2 linked regions of the Macaca fascicularis genome follow. The protein of the gene in region 2 purifies or fractionates together with the protein of the main gene of each other region. This does not show direct contact. Links are inferred from orthologs where the notes say so. Each region holds a gene or a part of one and is shown on either strand. Other genes may lie near its edges.

Evidence for each region.
Region 1: the proteins of HNRNPU (region 2) and HNRNPAB purify together in Homo sapiens (affinity purification with mass spectrometry; 4 studies listed by BioGRID and IntAct, with this or other methods). This does not show direct contact. The link is inferred for Macaca fascicularis from reciprocal best matches to the Homo sapiens genes HNRNPU and HNRNPAB.

Annotation. Positions count from the first base shown.
Region 1 is NC_088380.1:184,982,958-184,987,135, forward strand, and holds the start of HNRNPAB (heterogeneous nuclear ribonucleoprotein A/B), read left to right. Parts: upstream 1-1,373; 5' UTR 1,374-1,582; intron 1,583-1,656; 5' UTR 1,657-1,679; coding exon 1,680-1,888; intron 1,889-2,671; coding exon 2,672-2,840; intron 2,841-3,550; coding exon 3,551-3,709; intron 3,710-3,911; coding exon 3,912-4,043; intron 4,044-4,178. UniProt on the Homo sapiens protein: Binds single-stranded RNA. Has a high affinity for G-rich and U-rich regions of hnRNA. Also binds to APOB mRNA transcripts around the RNA editing site.
Region 2 is NC_088375.1:4,318,014-4,321,665, reverse strand, and holds part of HNRNPU (heterogeneous nuclear ribonucleoprotein U), read right to left. Parts: intron 2,475-3,652; coding exon 2,335-2,474; intron 1,395-2,334; coding exon 1,295-1,394; intron 860-1,294; coding exon 747-859; intron 297-746; coding exon 33-296; intron 1-32. UniProt on the Homo sapiens protein: DNA- and RNA-binding protein involved in several cellular processes such as nuclear chromatin organization, telomere-length regulation, transcription, mRNA alternative splicing and stability, Xist-mediated transcriptional silencing and mitotic cell progression.

The DNA.
Region 1 (4,178 bases), on a different chromosome or scaffold from region 2:
GCCGTGGTGGGCAGATCTCTTGAGTTCAGCATTTGCGACCAGCCTGGGCGACAGGGCAAGACCCCTGTCTCAAACGAAGACGAAACATAGGCCGGGCGCGGTGGCTGCGTGTAATCCCAGCACTTTGGGAGGCCGAGGCGGGTGGATCACCTGAGGTTAGGAGTTCAAGACCATCCTGGGCAACATGGCGAATCCCTGTCTCTACTAAAATACAAAAATTAGCCGGGCGCGGTGGCTCAAGCCTGTAATCCCAGCACTTTGGGAGGCCGAGACGGGCGGATCACGAGGTCAGGAGATCGAGACCATCCTGGCTAACACGGTGAAACCCGTCTCTACTAAAAAAAATACAAAAAACTAGCCGGGCGAGGTGGCGGGCGCCTGTAGTCCCAGCTACTCGGGAGGCTGAGGCAGGAGAATGGCGTGAACCCGGGAGGCGGAGCTTGCAGTGAGCTGAGATCCGGCCACTGCACTCCAGCCTGAAAAACACAAAAAAACCAAAAAAAAACAAAAATTAGCCGGAGGTGGTGGCGGGCGCCTGTAATCCCAGCTACTCAGGGACGCTGAGGCGACAGAATCGCTTGAAGCCGGGGCGGGAGGAGGTTGCAGTGAGCCGAGATTGCCTCCAGCCTGGGCGACAAGAGCAAGACTCCATCTAAAAAAAAAAAAAAAAAAAGAAAGGAAGAAAAAGACAAACGATTTAAAGGAAAAATGTAAGTAAACAAAAGTACAAATGCGATGTCAATCGTTAAGGTGGTGCCAGGGGACCGAGGATCGGGAAACACCAAGGTCTCATAGTCCCTGCAGGGCATCTCGGGGGGAGGCGACGGACAGGTCGCGAGCGCGGGGCTTGGAGGACACCAAGGTCCAGGGGGATGGCGGGTTCAGCCCCCTCCCTCCGACCCGTGCTGAGGGCTTTGGAGGACCCCCACTCTCCCAACCTCGGAAGCCCGGGTTCTGCCACTTCCAGCCATGCGTCCTTGGACTGCGAAACTTTCTCCAGCCTAGTTTCCTCTTTTGGGACATGGGGAGGCGGAGGCTGCCAATGCTGGGATAGAGTGCTCGAGAGCAAGGGACTAGGGCCTCGACGAGCTTACAGTCCGGTTAGGCCCTCCCACCGCTGTGCTGTGGCTGCTCGCCGCCCTGGACCCGGCGCGGTCCGGCCCGGCTGCCGGAGCCCTCGGTACGGGCCGTAGTCGCGCGGGTTCTAAAATGAGGACAAAGCCCGCCCGCGTCTAGAGCGCGCGCGCCGCCGCGGCCAATGGGACGTTGACGCTAGGTTGAGTGACGGACTTGAGCAGCCAATGAGCGTGCAGTTTGTTGCGAAGTGGGCCCCGGCTCCGGCATTATAAAGGGCGCCACGAGTCGGCATTGTCAGGCGGCGGCACCGCGCGGGAGGGAGCTTGGTTGTGTCGGTGGGTTCCCGTGCGGCGGCGGCGGCCAAGGAGGAGGAGACACAGTTGGAGCAGCTCCGTGGGCTGACTGGGGCGAGGCCTCAGCAGCGCGAGCTTGAGTGCGGCCGAGCCCGCGGCGCCTTCCCCGGCTGGTGGGGACGAGCGGGCCCCGCGGCGTCATCGGCGGCGAGGTGAGCGGCGGCCGGCGGGCGGGAGCTCTGGCGGGAGCCGCGCCGGCCTGACGCGCTGTCGCCGCTGGTTGCAGGAGCCGCCGCGCCTCGGCCTAGCATGTCGGAAGCGGGCGAGGAGCAGCCCATGGAGACGACGGGCGCCACCGAGAACGGACATGAGGCCGCCCCTGAAGGCGAGTCCCCGGCCGGGGCTGGCACGGGCGCCACGGCGGGGGCTGGAGGCGCGACCGCGGCGCCCCCGAGCGGGAATCAGAACGGCGCCGAGGGCGACCAGATCAACGCCAGCAAGAACGAGGAGGACGCGGGGTAGGTGCGGGCGCGGGCGGACGGGGGCGCCGCCTTTGTTCCGGGGCCGCCTTTTGTTGGCGCCACGCGGCGGGGGGAGGGGCGGCGGCCTGGCCCGGGTCGGGGCCGGTGCGGCCCGCGGACTGTCGCCGCTGCGTTCGCGGGCGGGCCTGGCGCTGCCACTCGCGCTGGAGTTTGCAGGAGTTTGTTGGGTCAACTTTGGCGCCGCCCCGGGGCCGTTTGTGCGCTGCCGGGGCCGGAGCCGGCGCAGGGGCGGGCGGATGGCCCGGAAGAGGGAAAGCGCTCGGACCCGGGGCCGGGCGGCGTCTCGGGCCGCGCCGGGGCTGCGTGGGCGGAGTTGGCGCGAGCCGGGGCCCAGGCCTCCCTCCTCCGCCTTTCCCGGGGGCGGAGTCACGGTCTGAACCCTGGGCGGGCTTGGCCCCCGGAAGCATCGAGTTCCTTGAAAAGAGTTCTCAGGAGGTGGCGAAGACGCTGGCCCTTTGATACATGGTTGTAGATAACAAATGAATTTCCAGTTGTGAGTAGTTAGGGCCCATGTCCCTGGTGAGGTGGTCCTTTCTTTGCTTCTCACAGCCTGGGGCTGCAGAGCCTTGTTAAGCTTCGTTAGGGTCCTGGTTGAATTGAATTTGGAGGGTAGTGGAGATTTAACATCCTTCTAAGGTGCACCTTGCAGACTCTAAGGGTAGCTGTAGACTTTGTGAGAGCTTTGCCAGGGCCAGTCCTTTCCAAAATCACAGCTTGCTTATAAGACTTGTTGCCATGTGTCTCACCCTACCATTTCAGAAAAATGTTCGTTGGTGGCCTGAGCTGGGATACTAGCAAAAAAGATTTAAAAGACTATTTTACTAAATTTGGAGAGGTCGTTGACTGTACAATAAAAATGGATCCCAACACTGGACGGTCAAGAGGGTTTGGGTTTATCCTGTTCAAAGATGCAGCCAGTGTGGAGAAGGTAAGCTGGGTGCTGGATTTCAGCAGTCTCAGTGGAAACGATTTGAATTCTAAGAGGACACCTTTCTTACAGCATGACTAGTTTGTGTGTTCTGCATGTGGTTGAGTGCTTTGGGCAAAGCCAGAGGTTATATTCCGGTTTTTGAGGGGATGAAAATACAAATTAAGCTGGGAGTGAGAGTATGTGCTGGAGTGGTTCGGGAAGATTATAGTTGACATTCATTACCTTTTATGTGCCTATTCTGGGCACTGTGCTAAACATCTGGGAGGATTACAAGAGAGTCTAAGATTGCTATGATAGGCTGTTAGCCCCATTTTACAGGACAAAAACCAAAACCCTGAGGCTCAGACATTTAAGTAGAAGAGGTCACAGCTAGTAGGGAGTGGAGCGAGGATTTCATCCCCTGCAGCCCATCTTCAGCCTGTGCTGAGTCCCTGCTGCTTTGCTTCTGGAGATGGGCCTCACGCTGGGACTGCTTGGGCAGAAAGAGCATGATCAAAGGCTTGAGGGTGAGGACTGCTTTCTAGGTGTCGAGGTAAACCAGCTGTACTTGAGGTTTGAAGAAAATTGGGTTGGGAAGTTAAGCTGGGGTAGAATTTGGAGGGGGTGAAACACATTTTTTATCTGTGCTGGTGTCTTCATGGCTTAGAGAGAAGGGCCTTGTCTGGCTCATGCTGCTGAGTCAGCCTGACCCCTTTCTGTTGGAACAGGTCCTAGACCAGAAGGAGCACAGGCTGGATGGCCGTGTCATTGACCCTAAAAAGGCCATGGCTATGAAGAAGGACCCAGTGAAGAAAATCTTCGTTGGGGGTCTGAATCCTGAAGCCACTGAGGAAAAGATCAGGGAGTACTTTGGCGAGTTTGGGGAGGTGAGTGTGGCCCTGGGAGTAGCCCATCAGCTGCCCTAAGGCTGCCTTCTTTCTGGTCCTTGGTATCCTTGGCTGAGTAGACCCTCCCAGGCAGGGCTTATTTTTCACTCTCTGCCTTCAGTGGGGTCTTTTCTCTTGTGAGTCCCCTATATGCTCTGGGGTAGAGAGGTATTGAGCCTGAGTTTGCCTATGCTTTTTGCAGATTGAGGCCATTGAACTTCCAATGGATCCAAAGTTGAACAAAAGACGAGGTTTTGTGTTTATCACCTTTAAAGAAGAAGAACCTGTGAAGAAGGTTCTGGAGAAAAAGTTCCATACCATCAGTGGAAGCAAGGTAAGGTGTCCCCAACTCTGCTGGGCATCCTGTGCTGCTGGAGAGCTGGCCCTTAGAGGGGTGGGGGTTAGGGGTTGGGCCATGGTGCAGGAGCTCTCCAGGTTGGTTAGACCTAACTATTTCTCTGAAGTGTAT
Region 2 (3,652 bases):
TGCCAGTTAAAAAAAAAAAAAAAATCACTTACTTCACAATCTTTCTTCTCTTCAGGCCCCTTTGGTCCTCTAACTCGATCCTCTAAGGGGACATTCTGGATAAAAGTATACTCTTCAGGTATTGGAAAATATGGCTTTTCCTTCTGACCAAAATTAAATTCAACTGCACAGTTGTGGCAGAGAACATGCGGGAAGAGTGGCCGTCCAGCAAGAACTTCCTTACTGATTTTGAAAGCAATGCCAAGATCTTGTCCATTCTTAGCATAGGAGAGTTCTACTTCATCACTTTCAAAGTTCTGTTAAACAGCAAAAAATTCAAGTTATCTGCTTCCTGTAAACTTTCTAAAAAACTAATAATTAAAATTAGGAGCAAAGCTTATCCTGTGGGAGCTACAGGTTAAACAACTATTAAGTGGCCTCTAAGGGCTACACAGTTAAGAAATCTGATGGTTACAAACAATGAAGCACGGATCTCCAGAACCAGAAACAATAGTGACCTAGAAGTTAGACTAAATTTTCTAGGTCAATTTCATCTTCATTGTTTTCAGTCAAAATGAAATTAGTGAGTTCCTCAAAAATGTCCTGTATTTTCCCAATTCAACTGCTGAATGAGTATTTATACTAACCCAGGGACTGGTGTATTTATGTTGCTCCTATTGAAGATTGACCTTAATAAAGCTTCTTAAAAGTTCCTAGATATAGCTACTAATTTGCCATTTATACATAGAAAGTTAGCTTTAACTTACAGCAAAACATGTAATCACATCATTTTCATCAAACTTTTCTCCATAATCTTCAGTCTCACAGTTGCATGTTTTTATTCCTTTTAGAGAATACCCGTAAGAAAATTCTTCTTCACCTAAGAAAGTAATTAACCTTCGTGAAGCAGATTTTTAAAATAGTCCAAAGACTCATCTATTTCACTACTTAAAATGTAGGCTACAAGAGAAATGAGCATATAACCTAATCACCTGTCACTGACACTATTACTTTTCTACCTCTGTACTAGAATTGATGAAAGTTAGGAGGGATATATATATATGCAGAGACCAAATTAGTTGACAATTTGCATATCATGGGTAAGATTTTATTTCAACCATAAACTTCTAATAAAGGAACAAAAACTAAAATGTAGCCTGTGCCTACTATGTGCTAATATTACTTGTCTGAAGTATTAACAGAATAGATAAAAACAGACAAAAGGCTTAGAATGCCTTCTAGTCTGGTTAAAAAATAAGGATATCAGACCCTCCTAAACATTCATGAGCCCACATCAGTCAAAAAGAATCTTTACCAAGTAACATTCCACTTGTAGTTAGTGACCAGCCAATACGAACTTCATGTATGTCAATATCTTTTGTATATAAATGCCTTACTGGGATCTTCTCTGTAACCTGAAAGTCGAATCATTAAATAATTAAAATCATAAACCAAGGAGGTAACCCCTTAACTCTGGCTTATTTCATAGGGTCATGAGCTAATCTTCCTCGAGCTATAAATACAAAGAGATGGCACACTCTAGCCCATCCCTAATATTTGTAAGAACTTTAAACTGATGTGCTTATAACTTGAAATGTTAAATACTTATTTGACCCATACTTAAAAGAATAGTTAATATTTTTACAGTTCATGTTGTCAGTCTTCAACTTAAAGCCAATTAAAGGATACATTTAATGTTTTTCTCGCCAACAAAACCTGTAATCTAACCAAATTTTATTTTTCACTCTTTGGTGGCCCTTTCAAATGCTTGATAAAAATGAAGTACCCTAAATAAAAAGTTGCCTAGCTCTGCATGTCAAGTTCTAACATAACTTAACTGTCACAACAAAATGAAGGTTCCAAGTTCCTCTTTTAATTTACAGGAAGCTTCAAAAAATAAGTACCTCTGATAACTTAGCAGTATGAAGCACCTGTAATTTCAGTATTCTGGGAGGCCCAGGCAGGCAGATCACCTGAGCTTACGAGTTCAAGACCAGCCTGGGCAACATGGTGAGACCCTGTCACTATTTTAAAAAGAAAAAAAGAAAAGAAAAAAAAAGGCTGGCTCAAGTGCGGTGGCTCAAGCCTGTAATCCCAGCACTTTGGGAGGCCGAGGTGGGTGGATCACCTGAGGTCAGGAGCCCCGTTCTCTATTAAAAATACAAAAATTAGCCAGGTGTGGTGGCACGTGCCTATAGTCCCAGCTACTTGTGAGGCTGAGGCAAGAAGAATCACTTGAACCCAGGACGAGGAGGTTGCAGTTGAGCCTGGGTCACACCACACCAATCCAGCCTAGGGGACAGAGTGAGACTCTGTCTCCAAAATCAAACAAAAACATCATAAAATTGCATTTACCTTCATCTCAAAACACACTTTGCCTTTTGACACACCATAAGATGCTCTTCCTCCAGCCCAAAGAAAAGCAAAACTTTCCATTGTAAGGGAAGAAGCACTGAGACGATCTCTTGATATTTTAAAATGTAGATCACAATTATCTGTAATTATATCAAATACTGTGTTACTTTTGACATCCAATGTAAACATATATGCTATGTAGAGAAAACTTGGTTATTTAATTTTTGCATGTACTTAACGCTGCACAACTTTTCTCCACATCATGCTGTTGTTCCAATTTTCAGTTTAAAGCCCCACTCCCACCAAGTCACTCCTTTTAAATTATGTACTGAAAAGTAAACTGCCTCTGAAACTAATACCAAGGTTTAACATGTATATTTTAAGTATTTAAAATAATCAAGACAATGTGACATTAATACATACCTGCTCTGCTCTTTACCTTGATTTAGAGGCAAGCAGTAGAGGATAGCAGGAAATCAAAGTGAAGCATGCCAGAACCAGGTAGATTTACCAGTGCCACATTAAAACTGAAGGGAGGCCACGACCAAATTATTTTGAAACAGGAGTATGAGCTGCTGTTGATCCTGCACCAGGGCTCTAGCTCCTAAATTCTTCTTCTAAAACTTGTGAAGAAGACAGCCTAAATCTATGAAGTACAAACCTGGCCGTCTAATGCTGTTAATAGTGCAGCATTTTAGGTCCTCTTTACCCAGGACTGCCTGTTCAACAATTAGGGATTAACTGCTTCCCGGATTATCCAAATCCAAAGTGTCTTTAACCTAGCTACCTATGGGTCACTGGCTCATTAACATGCACCTTCTCAGACTTCTCACTTCAACAGCTAAAGTCAAGCTGGAATTCAATTTTTTTTTTACTGATCAGAGAAAAATAAATCTACAGTTTGGAATTTTTCTTAAATTAGAATTACTGTAATCAGCAGAATTTAATTCAACAGATTGTTTGAATTCAACATTGTGTTTATATTGACATATGCCTATCTGATTTGCTAAAAAATCTAACAATTACATTACCTGCATGAGTCACCACTTCACTACCTTGCCAATTCCTAGCAACTTTTTATTTACACAACCCAGAATTTCACATAAAACTTTCAATTCAACTAACTCCTTTTTCACCTGCAGTTTTTTACTTCAAAAAGGCTCAGATGACTATCTCAACCTTCTGTAAAGGACATTCCAGTAAGAAAGAGTTTTACATTTACACTCTTACAAATCTGAATAAAACCAAATTGTACAAGAAAACATGAGAAGCTAAGCTTCAATGCCCTCCATCTAAAAGAGCAGGCTGACACCACAGC